Arabidopsis thaliana: one gene and its partners. The protein of the gene in region 2 interacts with the protein of the main gene of each other region in a pairwise test. Each region holds a gene or a part of one and is shown on either strand. Other genes may lie near its edges.

Region 1 (5,059 bases), on a different chromosome or scaffold from region 2:
TCTGGTGCTAAATCTCAATAGAAGAAGATGGTAGAGGTTATATTAATATCATTTTCTAGATCTTTCATTTTAAGATACTTTCATTGGAACTGGGAATACATGTATACTATTTTAGGCCCATGTATACTGGAGCTTAATTGTTTGTATGTTTTTTTTTCGGATAGGTAAATATTTGATTTAGTTAGATTCAGAATGTTTAAGTTTTTACTTTGTAGGTTAAATTTGTTCTATAAAGCTTATTTCCAACTGTAAAGACACATTTCATTTTACTAAATGTTTCTGATGAAAATCACATAACCAAATTTTGATATCGAACGGGATCACCAGTTTCGGTGGTTTTGATCGGATCAACAATGGTGAAGAGAATGAGCGTCATGGGTCATTTGTGTTTACACGCTTACACTCACGCTTACGCTGCACAGATTTCTTTAATCTGATGAATGTGAGTTGTTGTTGCTCAACATTTCGTTAAAACGGTTACGTTTGCCATAAGTAACTATTGATACATTTGTGTTTATACGCTTACGCTGCTGCACATGTTTACGTGATTACGTCTACGACCATTTCAACTTCGATTTGCCTTAGAAGCACGATAGCTTATACATTCTTCCATCATGTCCAATCATATATATAATATTAAGAGTTTACCGTCGCTGAGTCATACAGTAAATAAAAATACAGACAATAGTTACCTCAATCAAAATCACAAAACCAATGACTCTTTTTCTGGTTAATGCTTGTGATTCCAATGGGGTAGGGTTTCATACAGATTAGAATCAGGAGCAAATGGATTCTGCATGCCTTCACGGTTCACCTGTTCCGGCAAGAAATTTGCCGTCTCCACTCTCTGATTTTGTGCTAAACCAGCACTGGTGTTGGTACTTGAATTTGCTGGTTTCAAAATGTGGTTAGAGTTTGGCGGAATACTAGAGGAAGCACTCGGTGTGTTGCTGAATGGTATGCCCATGTTTGGTCTTGACCAATGCAAAGGGTTCACTCCTGTCACTCTTTTCACAGTTTCCTCTGCCATCTTAACCTGCACAGGTTTTTTATCAATGCAATTAACTTAGTTATTAAATCATAATCTTGGGTGTTTTAAATTCTTAACACTCGTGAGTCACAAGAGTACCTTTGTTCTCAAAGTTTCGATATCAGCTCTTAGAATTCTGTTGTCAACAGCAGCTGCATCATACTTATGATTCATGTCACTAAGACGATTAATTAAAGTTGAATGCTCGGCTCTTAATTGGCCTACCTACAATTGGTAAAAACTTTACCTATAAACCCCTGAAGACTGTTGAAAAGTAAGAAAGACTCGAGAAATGTATAAATGTATGAGCAACTAATAAAAGACCGAACCTGTGTATCAAATTCATTCATTTGTTCTTGCTTTCTTCTCCTAGAGCGCCTAGCGGATTCTCGGTTTGAGAGCATCCTGGGTAATTACAAAAAAAAAAAAATGAATCAGGATGACCTTCGAAAAAGTTAAATATATAGAGCCTGACTGTTTCCTAAGAACAACAGTCACAACATAAAATTGACTGAAACATTCCTCTACTAGATTTCAGTTCTTTCTTTCTCTTTAGAGAGAGTAGAAAGTAGAAACTATTAGGTACAAGCCTTTTCCCAAAAGCATGTCTATATCTATCAGCCTCGAGATTCAGAACGATTACCAGAAACATTCTAAGGTACAAAAATCAAGATTTGTACCTCCTAGCACGCTTCACATCAGTAGGATCTCCATTATCTGCGTCTCCATCAAGATCATCGTCATCAGAATCATCTCGTGATGAAATACTAGTTTGTCTGGCTGGAACATCAGGTTTCTTTTGCGTGCTTGTTGTGGGAGAAAATCTAACAGATGAAGCACCAGGTGAGGTTTGTGCCACAATGGAGCCTAGATAATTTCAAAATAATCCCATTATCCACTAACTGAAAAACATTTCATCCAGGTACATATCACAAGAAGCGGGAAATAAGAAAGCTATCTAGTATAATGCACTAACTTACACTAATAAGAATGGAGAGTCAAAAGGCTAAGAATTCTCATCTAAACGCATAATACTACGTATGCCTTGTTTCTTTCTTCTCAGAGAAAAAATTGACTCGACTAGAACAGAATTAAATATGAATGAACACAGAGAAAGCTGTCATCTCCAAAACAAAGCCTACTTATCTTCAAATTCCCTTAAAGTCTTGAGTTTACTGAGAGAGATTAGCAGTTAATTAATTGTCTAATCAAATTGACAAACAAATCTCGATGAAATGTTTGCTCTCTATGTAATCTAAACATTGACATTGACGAGAGACAAAGCTAGAGAGAGTCAAAAAACCAAAACCAAAACAAAGCAACGATACGTGACCTTGAGCTTGTTTTTGATTGCTAGCTGAAGCACTCGAATCTTCCGGTTTCACAGTTCCCACCTGAAGAAAATCATATCAAATCAACACACAACCAAACATTCCTTATTGTTGAAATCATCAATTCCTTTAATCTGAATACACATAAGAAATGGATCTAAGAGACGTACACGACGAGCAACAGCAGCGCAAGCAAGCTCGAGCTTGCTCTTAAGAATCGCATGATACTGATTAGGATCAACAACAACAGGAGCTGAAGAATCAACCGGATCAGACGACGGAGCACGATTCCGATTCTTCCCTTGATCATCAACAGGGAGCCGTCGATGATTCTGCGGTTTCTGAATCTCAACAACATCTTCGGTTTCGTCAACGGTTTCTTCTAATCTCGAAAGAGACTGAACCGGTGGAGGTGATCTCTCGATTGTGTTAGTCGTAGGGCTCGAATCGGAACCAGACAACTCATTGATAAGCCTGTGGAACGCCCACTCCGATTGACTTCGAGTCATCCCATCCGCCACGTTCTGCGTCGGTGACGGAGTCGATGACGATCCCGGCGACGGCGCCGGAGCGGGAACAGGCCAGAAGGATTCGGTCAAATCATCGACAGAGAAGACGATGTGCATCGCTTACCCAATCGCCTCAAATTCTTCTTCTTCTTTTTTCTCTCTCTCTCTCTCTCTCGCTCTTTCCTTAATTTGTTTTTGTCTTACGTGGAGCCGCCATTATTGATTAGGATACTTGACACGTTTCTGTATTGTATTGGATTAGTACTAACCAACATATCTTTTTTCTGTTAATAATTTAATAAAAATGCAAATTAAGGCATTCAAAGGCATTTTAAATTTCTACTTTAGTTGATGTGTGTCATTTACTTTGTGGGCAAAAGGGTAAGAATAATGTGTTGGCTTTATAGATAAGCAGCTTAGGTTTCCTTTGTCTTTTTTAACTCCTTCCTCTCATTTTCTTGATTTGATAGCTACTCTCTCTTATTCATATCATCAGTAAGATATTCTCACCACATATGATGCATGAGTAAGCAAGCTTTAAACAAGTAAAGGAGGAACTCAGTGAGACTGAAGAAAGTGGTAACCCAAAGAGGTTACAACCGAGGAGCTGCAAACATAGCCTGACTTCAAGAGACCCGAGGGGATAAACCGAATAAGAATCAAAGTCACCTAAGTCAGCTTATGGTAAAAAGAAGGTAAGAGTGTATTCATTGGAAATCCTATGTAACTTGATCATAACAGCGTTCTTTGAGTTAAACATTGTGAATATTAGATTATGTGCCTATCATCTAAGTTTCAATGAAAAAAGAAACACAGATATTTATATACTACTAGCATAGCTGAGCAATTTCAATTATCCATCCTGAAAACTCATACATACCACACATAGATGCTAATACGACTATGTGAACAAAAGCAATAGGAATTACTCACGCTTTTAACAATCTCTTGGCTCAGTTGATTCCAACCACTAGATACCAAGGTTCTTCTTGAAGTTGGCTTTGTATATCTCTGAAACAGCACTGGCAGTATCAGCAACACCGGTTTTGATCTCCGATATCTTCGAATCCATGTACTCTTTCTGTTTCGATATCGAATCGATAAGTGCAAAGAGTTGTGCAGCACATGCTTGGACCTCCTCTTCACTCTCCTTCACTGCTTCTTGCAATCTAAGCTCCGAAGCTTTTACAAACTCAGCAGCTTCTTTCTCCACAACCTCCAGATTCAAAGCCTCAGCTTTCACACTCTCAACCAATGTTTTCGCCTCCAAATCACATTTTGTACTCAACTCCTGAGTTTCCTTCTTCACCAACTTCATCTTTTCTTCGAGGTCATTGATCTGCAACTGAATTGACCCAAGAAGACTCCTTTTGGATTCGATCTTCGAAGCCATTTCAGACTTATGGTGCTGTAAAGTGACCAATTCCTCCACTTTCTCCGCCGAGCTTCCTTTGATCCCATCGCACAACGAACACAGAGCTGGCTTCACCACCGATTTATAATCCACACCCATCACCGCTGCAGGTGTTTCCCCTCTCTCGTTAACAGCGAACTGAATATCAAGCTTCAATCTCCTGAGAGCTTGGTTGCAGTCAATGGCAAGTGTCTGAATCTGATGAAACTGATTCCTAATCTGTGAATTGAGTTCCCAAGCTTTCTGATCCCAACCATCTCTAGCAACCTCAGCATCCGCAACATCTCTTTCCACAGCTTGTAACTCTCTTCTCATCCTATTTACATCCGCCGCGCTAAAGTTCTGAAGCTCCACACTCTTCTTCAACTCCTTATTCTCTACAGAGATTCGCTCTCTCTCTTCTTCCTTAGCTTTGAGCTCCTTAGCTTTCTCCTCCACAACTTTCTCCATCGCTGGATTCCTATCAGTATACTCCACAACAATAGTTCGGAACTTGTTTACGTCATTCTCCAAATCGGCTTTAACTTTCTCCAGAGACTCTTTCTTCGAAGGACCTTTCCTCAGTGACTCAAGTTTAGCCTCCAATTCACCGGAGATTTTCTCACAACCAGAGATAGTTTCAGCGACGCTAGTCTTCTCCGCTTCCAATTTACCCAAAAATTGAGAATCTAAATCGTTAACCTTATCATCCTCGCCGCGAATGAAGTGACCAAAGCTTTGAATCGCGAAGAAATTCATGGAGTTATCTTCGGGTACGGAGGTGGAATTAGATACT
Region 2 (3,289 bases):
GGGGTAAAGACTTGACTGGTACATTAGTTGAATAACTGAACAATACAATAGCGGAATCACCAGGACGACAAAATTCAAAACGGAATAAACTTAACACGCCAAAAAGCTACTTAATAAATGACTTTGTCTAAACTAGTTAGTTATACATTTAACACATGCGAAATAGATTGGAAAATAGCTTATTAATTTTCACGGTTTATCACTCCGTGGTTATTATTGTGAATGGTATACACTCGGCAAAATCACGTTTTGAAACACATGAACATGCAAATAAGACACATACCATTCAAGCCCTATATTATTTTGAATTATTCATAAAATTGAAAAATTTGACACAAAAAATTGTTATCGTGTTACCAAAGCAATTTTTATCGGTAATACTCAATTATGACCAGAACATATACTACTTCCCCACTTTTTGCTTCAATTTTGATTACTTCATCAGTTCTGCCATTTACATGCAAGGTACCAAAAAAACTTTTTTTTTTTCTTTCGGGTTAACCACCGAAAATCATATAACGTTAAATGAAAATGTTGAAAACAATAAGATATGCAATTGTATCAGAATTCAGAAAGTAATGAGAAGAAACAATTCGATATAAAAAGATTACAAAAACTATAAAATGACCAAAGTAAAACACACACTAATACACAAATCTCATGTCTTAAAGGACGCCATTGGTTGTAGAGAACCACAACTCAATTTCCACGGTGTACGTCTACAATCTCCAACCGCTATTCCCGCGTTTGCGTTCTGATCGTCGACACAATCGCCACCACCACTCTGCGTCAGCGTTAAACTCGTCGTAGCAATCATATTCTCTAAATCGCTAACGTAACTCGAGAGCCAAATCTTCTCCGATCTAAGACCCGCGTTCTCCGTTTCGACCGAGTCAAGCCTCTGTTTTACAGCTCGACATCTCTCACTGTTCTCTTTGATTCGTCGTTCAAGACTGGAGATCTCATGAATCGTGTCTTCCATTAACTTCTGTTTCTTCAAACGCGACCTCCTTGCAGATTCGCGGTTTGATAACTTGCGTTTTCTTTTCTTCTCATCTATGTCGGAACCTGAACTTGTCTTCTCTGCGTTTGCCATGTTTTTTTGTTCAAGAGATAACGTAAAACCAATGAAGAATCACAACTGATATAGAATGATAAACAAGGAATTGGTTGAGATTTATCATTTCATAACTCTGTCCATTGTCTTTTCATAACTCAAGAACTCAAGAATTTCAAGACAAGAAAAAAGAATTTCAAGAATCTGTGATTTTGCGAGGATCAAGAGAAATTAAACAAGAAGATCTTTATTTATGATTACGTTTGATTTTAAGAGAAGAGAAGAGATTAGTTAGAAGAGAAATAGAACAAGGAAGAAGATAAGGATAAGATCGAAAATAAGGAAAGTGGGAGAAGTTGTTCGTTTTAGGTTGCTCTTATTTATAGATTTAACATTATAAAAAAAAATCTCGAATTTTTACATTAGAAAAGATTATCCAAATTGTATAAGAAAGGAAGATTCATCGAATGACGAATCGGAAAAGAAAGAGAATTTTAGTCAAACATTTTTATTTTTTACTTTTTTGGTTTATTGTTTTTATTTTATTTTATTTTTATTAGGACATAACAGCTAAATAGGTGTTGGTGTTGTTCCTTAATAGGTGACCAGTAATTACTATTTTTGCTTTTTAGCATTTAAATTGTTGTTTTGTTGTGCATTTAGTTGTCACACTCGTAGGATAATTCAAGAAATATCCTACGAAAACTAGATTCTATAACCTTCTAATTATGTATATATACTTGTCCAAATTTAATTCATCGTTTTGTAAGTCCCTTTTTCTGCAACTCCAGTAAAAATAGAGTATGATTGTCTAAAATCAGTAAACTGGATCAGTTAATGTCAGTGGGTAATGCATTAGCTGACATAAACACGTTCCGATCATTATTTCTTCTTAGTTCGGTTTTAACTACTAAGCATTTCAAAAAGTTACACAACCATTTTAAATTTTAAATTGCTAATGGGACAAAAATACCTCATTTAGAAAGAATCATACGTACGTAAACTATATCGTCAATGAAACACGAAGTTCTTTTGGAATTGGACAGGTTAAACGTGGAGCAATGACCGACTATTTTTAGTGTTTTTAATTTTGGGGATTTAGAGATTACGCTTAACATGGTTGACAATTTTATTATTAAAGAAAATTATCCATGTTGAAAGCAAAATTCCATTTGATATTACTTTTGTGTGGGTCTTATCTGAAATGATTTTAGTAAACTAAAAGAAAGAGACTGTATATATTGATAAGCCAGCCCTGCTTTCTTTTCAAATGAAAATACAAAACAATAGAAGATGGGCGATAATTTATTAATTAATATAATACTTGAAAATACACGATCCTTATCTGCTCACCGATAAACTATATATCATTATTTATTTATCAGATAAATAAAATACTTCAATATAATTATTTTTCATAAAAAAAAAGTAGATGCACTTCATTGGTTGGCTAGTTTTAGAAATTTGTTTAGGTTCTACGGACCTTTTGTTCGGGTCTGAGTCAATCTTGATATTTGAGGTTTTGAACAAACTAGAAAAAAATGAAAAAACTAATGCAGAAATCTACATGTAAATTGCTGTTAATTGTTATTTTATTTTAAGTGTTTATAACGTGGTAAAGTATATTAAAAGTTTTATTTAGATAACAAATTTATTATTATTTTTGTTTGACATATTTTCATTAATAAGATCTGATCTATAGATAATCCCTAACTATTATCCAAATAACGTGATTTAATAAAGTCAAACTCCAGTAGAAAATGTGGAGTTAAATAGGTTTAACCAATTGACTATTACCACCATTATTGTTTAAACTACTGGTTACATATTTCTTTGTTTTTTTTATGAAATTTGTTAAATTTGTAATCATATACATGATATATTGAAATTTAATGTTTTGGGTTTTAGGGAGTGTTGTAGTTTCTCTTTTTTTTGCCATTGATATTTCTCTATCAACTTTCTTAATTATTTTTTTAATTATTAGTTCCAAATTGTGGTTGAAACTTAGTGGTTTGTTTTAAAAGTGTTGTTGTCATATTAGAATCCTAATTTATAGTTTAAAATGTATGTGTATAAACTAAATGATAGAATAAACATGCAAGTTTTTTTTTTGAACCCTATATCTAATTTTAAGAAGACAAGTACAAAACAGAAATAAAACTTCTCAAATTCTAACACATTTATCTAAGAACGTGAACTAAATCAAGTTTAACAAATAAAAACATTTGCTCC
Region 3 (4,592 bases), on a different chromosome or scaffold from region 2:
GCTATTGGACGCGTAAGACACAAGAATCTGGTGAGATTGCTTGGTTATTGCGTTGAAGGAGCTCATAGGATGTTAGTTTACGAGTATGTTGATAATGGGAATTTAGAACAATGGATTCATGGTGGTGGTTTGGGGTTTAAGAGTCCTCTTACTTGGGAGATTAGGATGAACATTGTTCTTGGAACAGCCAAAGGGTTAATGTATTTACACGAAGGTCTTGAGCCTAAAGTTGTTCACCGAGATATTAAATCGAGTAATATCTTGCTTGACAAGCAATGGAACTCGAAAGTTTCTGACTTTGGGTTAGCTAAGCTCTTGGGTTCGGAGATGAGCTATGTGACTACTCGTGTGATGGGTACGTTTGGGTATGTGGCTCCTGAATACGCGAGTACCGGAATGTTGAATGAGAGGAGCGATGTTTATAGCTTCGGTGTTCTTGTTATGGAGATTATTTCAGGGAGAAGTCCTGTGGATTATAGCCGGGCTCCGGGAGAAGTGAATCTTGTGGAATGGTTGAAGAGATTGGTGACGAATCGAGATGCGGAAGGAGTTTTGGATCCGAGGATGGTTGATAAACCGTCGTTAAGGTCATTGAAGCGTACCCTTTTGGTAGCTTTAAGATGTGTTGATCCTAATGCTCAAAAGAGGCCAAAAATGGGTCATATCATTCATATGCTTGAAGCTGAGGACTTGGTCTCTAAAGATGATCGGAGAAACTCTGGAGGAGGAGGAGGAGGAATAGAACAGGGAAGGTCACCGCGGAGGAAGACAAATGTGAATGAATCAGAGGATGAGAGTGGTAATTCTGTTCTGATCAACAATGACCAATTAGCTTTGGAGAATAAGCAGAACTAGTAAAAAAGAAAGAAGCTTTGGCATTATAATTTTGTATTACTATTTTTAGAAGTTTTTTCTTGTGTGTGTATATTTATGTGTGTAGATTCTTAGCCCTTTCACAAAAAAAAAAAAAATGTGTGTAGATTCTTGTAATTTTGCAATAATTAAAACTGGGGATTGCTTGAAAAATATATATATGGTTTGTTTTTTTGTATTCTTTTGGTTCGTTCTCTATTGTAATATAGCCTACATAGTGGTGATTTGTGGTATTGGTGACACTATGTTAAGGTCAAAAAGAAATAGAGAGTAAATTCCATATATATGAAAATTGAAAATGACTGTTTAAATTTACATATGGCGCGAAAAAATGATCTAGTTCGTTAATTATTTTTAGAAGCTTTTTGTGGTAAATTTAGATTTTTAAAAAACTCCATATATTTTTTTTTTATAATTTAGGCTTGTCTATTGTAAATTTGTAATATAGCTTAGTGATTTATTTGTTTAGCTTCTGGTGACATTTTATAAATTTTTAATGACCAGTATAATATAGTATTTTTTTATAAATTAAAATATAATCTAATGTTTTATGTCAACTTCGTTGTTCATTGAATAAATCAAACTTTGAAGAATAATTAAATAACAATGTTTGCAAAAACTGTTACGTTTTTTCATGTAAACATTAGTGGACGTTATACAATAGATATTTAAATTATAAAAACTATTCAAAGAATATTGTAAAGAAATAAAACAGAAATGTGTAAGAAAAAATGTTTATTTTATTGTACGTAATAAAAAAAGAGAATATACTTGTGTGGGTGGACCTAAATGCAAATAGGCAAAGTACCGACAAAAAAAGAAGAATCAGAAAGTGAAAAAGAGAGCGAGCGATGAACAGTATCTTCTCCATTGACGATTTCTCCGATCCTTTCTGGGAAACTCCTCCGATTCCTCTCAATCCCGACTCTTCTAAGCCTGTTACGGCGGATGAAGTTAGCCAGAGTCAACCGGAATGGACTTTCGAGATGTTTCTCGAAGAGATTTCTTCGTCGGCGGTGAGCTCTGAGCCACTTGGTAACAACAACAACGCGATCGTCGGTGTTTCTTCGGCGCAATCTCTTCCTTCTGTTTCCGGACAGAATGATTTCGAGGATGATAGTCGATTTCGTGATCGCGATTCGGGAAATTTGGATTGTGCTGCTCCCATGACGACGAAGACGGTGATTGTTGATTCCGATGATTATCGTCGTGTTCTTAAGAACAAGCTTGAGACTGAGTGCGCTACTGTTGTTTCTCTTCGGGTGTGTTGTTAATCTTCTATTTTTCTTATCTATATGTGTAATTTGTGCGTTTTGATCTAAATCTGAAGCTCTGATGTTCTCTTCTTAGGTTGGGTCTGTGAAGCCTGAAGATTCGACTAGTTCTCCAGAAACTCAACTTCAACCAGTTCAATCCAGTCCTCTTACTCAAGGTAAGAGTCTCTTCTTAGTTTCACCAGGATAGATGAGCGATGATAAACCTGCAGATTCGTTTCTCTGTTCTGTGTTTGTTAATTTAGATGCCTAGGTTAAGGAATTAGAAATAGAAAATGGTACTTTTGTTGGATCAAGCGCCTAGTTTTATCCGTCAAGTTTCAATCTTTTTGTGACTGACTTTCTCATTGAAATTAAACTGCTTTCTGGAAGAACAATAAGCTTGGGATTGAGATGAGTTCTGGTGGTTAGTTCAATATATGGGAAATCATTATTTCAGCGCTCGTCTTTCTCTTTCAGATATCTCTTCTGAGTCTTAGACATAGTAAGTTTTAATCGTGGTAGGTTCTTTGATGACCCCAGGAGAACTTGGTGTTACTTCTTCCTTACCAGCTGAGGTGAAAAAAACTGGTGTATCAATGAAGCAGGTTACTAGTGGATCGTCGAGAGAATATTCTGATGACGAGGACCTTGATGAAGAGAATGAAACCACCGGTTCCTTGAAGCCAGAGGACGTTAAAAAATCTAGAAGGTAATCATTACTTTTTCTCCAATTTCTTGTCGTTTGAAGATTACATTTATAGAGCCTTGTTCTTCCTTTTAATATTTGTAGGATGCTGTCAAATCGTGAGTCAGCTAGGCGATCTAGAAGGAGAAAGCAGGAGCAAACAAGTGACCTCGAAACACAGGTTTTGTGTTGTATCCTCTCAACACCTCATTTTTGTGTTGAAGGATATTAATGAGACCTAATTTGTATTTTGATAGGTTAATGATCTAAAAGGTGAGCATTCATCACTTCTTAAACAACTGAGCAACATGAATCACAAGTATGACGAGGCTGCTGTTGGCAATAGAATACTAAAGGCTGACATTGAGACATTAAGAGCTAAGGTAAGAAGACTTAAGTATTATCCTCCTCTCCTTTTTCTGAACTACCCTTTTTTTGTATACAGTTTTAGTAACTCCCATGTTATGTTAAGGTGAAAATGGCGGAAGAAACCGTGAAGAGAGTAACAGGAATGAATCCGATGCTTCTCGGAAGATCAAGTGGACATAACAACAACAACAGAATGCCAATAACTGGTAACAACAGGATGGATTCTTCTAGCATTATTCCAGCTTATCAACCACACTCAAACCTAAACCATATGTCAAACCAAAACATCGGGATCCCAACCATTCTACCTCCAAGACTCGGAAACAATTTCGCTGCTCCTCCATCCCAAACCAGCTCTCCCTTGCAGAGAATTAGAAATGGGCAAAATCACCATGTTACTCCAAGCGCCAACCCGTATGGCTGGAATACCGAACCTCAGAACGATTCAGCATGGTAAGCTAAAACATGGCTCTTTCTTTTAAGACCATTGAACAATTTAAAACCATTTGAAGTACTATGATCCCTGTTTATACATATCAGATTCCTGTCTCCCCTTTTTTTGCTCATTTTACAGGCCGAAAAAATGCGTGGACTGATCAAACAAGAAGCGGGTTTCGCACTATATTAATGTCTATGCATCTGTAATTTGTAAGTGTTATTAAGTTACGAATCATGAGAAAACATCTTGTGAAAATACAGTCTCATGGCTTATATATATATATAAGCTCTGTCTTATAACATTACAAGATTCTTATTTGAGAATCGTCTTTCTATTTATAGCTAATAACAGAGTGTATATCTGTTTTTATCCAATTTTAAAAAAGATAGCTCACATGGCTTTACTAATTTCCCCTATCATTAAATTCCGACAACCTCGGCGATTTCCATGGTAGATCGATCAAGCATTCACATTTTCTCGTCAGAAAACACAAAAAAAAAAAACAGAGGAGAAAAAGAGACGACGACAAACAAGTGAAAGAAAAAAGTCGTCGTTCTTCCAATTTTTTTCTCCTCTCTCTTCCTCTGTTTAACGGCGTACGTAAGTCAAAATGGGTTCAAGTAAGCTAAAACGTGCCATAGGAGCCGTGAAAGATCAAACAAGCGTAGGATTAGCCAAAGTCGGTGGTCGAAGCAGTTCTTTAACGGAACTCGAAATAGCTGTCGTGAAAGCGACGCGACATGATGACTATCCAGCGGAGGACAAGTACATTAGAGAGATTTTATGCCTAACTTCTTACTCACGCAATTACGTAAGCGCTTGTGTGGCAACTCTCTCGCGACGGCTCAACAAGACCAAGAACTGGTCGGTTGCTCTCAAAACCTTGATTTTGATCCAACGGTTGCTAACAGATGGAGATAGAGCCTACGAGCAAGAGATCTTCTTCGCGACGAGACGAGGAACGAGATTG

The links. The genes of interacting proteins can lie anywhere in the genome.
Region 1: the proteins of bZIP1 (region 2) and BZIP25 interact in binary tests that used the Arabidopsis thaliana proteins (3 or more experiments, as listed by UniProt).
Region 3: the proteins of bZIP1 (region 2) and BZO2H1 interact in binary tests that used the Arabidopsis thaliana proteins (3 or more experiments, as listed by UniProt).

Annotation. Positions count from the first base shown.
Region 1 is NC_003074.8:20,217,355-20,222,413, forward strand, and holds BZIP25 (basic leucine zipper 25), read right to left. Parts: upstream 3,144-5,059; 5' UTR 2,988-3,143; coding exon 2,532-2,987; intron 2,425-2,531; coding exon 2,364-2,424; intron 1,898-2,363; coding exon 1,711-1,897; intron 1,436-1,710; coding exon 1,360-1,435; coding exon of another isoform or gene 1,256-1,359; coding exon 1,130-1,255; intron 1,037-1,129; coding exon 731-1,036; 3' UTR 543-730; downstream 1-542. Other genes in the region: HAG1 (histone acetyltransferase of the GNAT family 1), read left to right, coding at 1-21; AT3G54630 (kinetochore protein), read right to left, coding at 3,841-5,059. UniProt on the Arabidopsis thaliana protein: Transcription factor that binds to the 5'-ACGT-3' box, especially present in G-box-like motif (5'-CCACGTGGCC-3'), ABRE elements, of seed storage protein (SSP) encoding gene promoters (e.g.
Region 2 is NC_003076.8:20,049,952-20,053,240, reverse strand, and holds bZIP1 (basic leucine-zipper 1), read right to left. Parts: upstream 1,413-3,289; 5' UTR 1,097-1,412; coding exon 659-1,096; 3' UTR 506-658; downstream 1-505. UniProt on the Arabidopsis thaliana protein: Transcription factor that binds to the C-box-like motif (5'-TGCTGACGTCA-3') and G-box-like motif (5'-CCACGTGGCC-3'), ABRE elements, of gene promoters involved in sugar signaling.
Region 3 is NC_003075.7:1,152,307-1,156,898, forward strand, and holds BZO2H1 (bZIP transcription factor family protein), read left to right. Parts: upstream 1-1,647; 5' UTR 1,648-1,724; coding exon 1,725-2,135; intron 2,136-2,223; coding exon 2,224-2,305; intron 2,306-2,651; coding exon 2,652-2,838; intron 2,839-2,919; coding exon 2,920-2,995; intron 2,996-3,071; coding exon 3,072-3,197; intron 3,198-3,286; coding exon 3,287-3,636; coding exon of another isoform or gene 3,637-3,640; exon of another isoform or gene 3,641-3,757; coding exon 3,758-3,779; 3' UTR 3,780-4,050; downstream 4,051-4,592. Other genes in the region: AT4G02630 (Protein kinase superfamily protein), read left to right, coding at 1-855; AT4G02650 (ENTH/ANTH/VHS superfamily protein), read left to right, coding at 4,233-4,592. UniProt on the Arabidopsis thaliana protein: Transcription factor that binds to the C-box-like motif (5'-TGCTGACGTCA-3') and G-box-like motif (5'-CCACGTGGCC-3'), ABRE elements, of gene promoters. Binds to the 5'-ACGT-3' motif of seed storage protein (SSP) encoding gene promoters (e.g.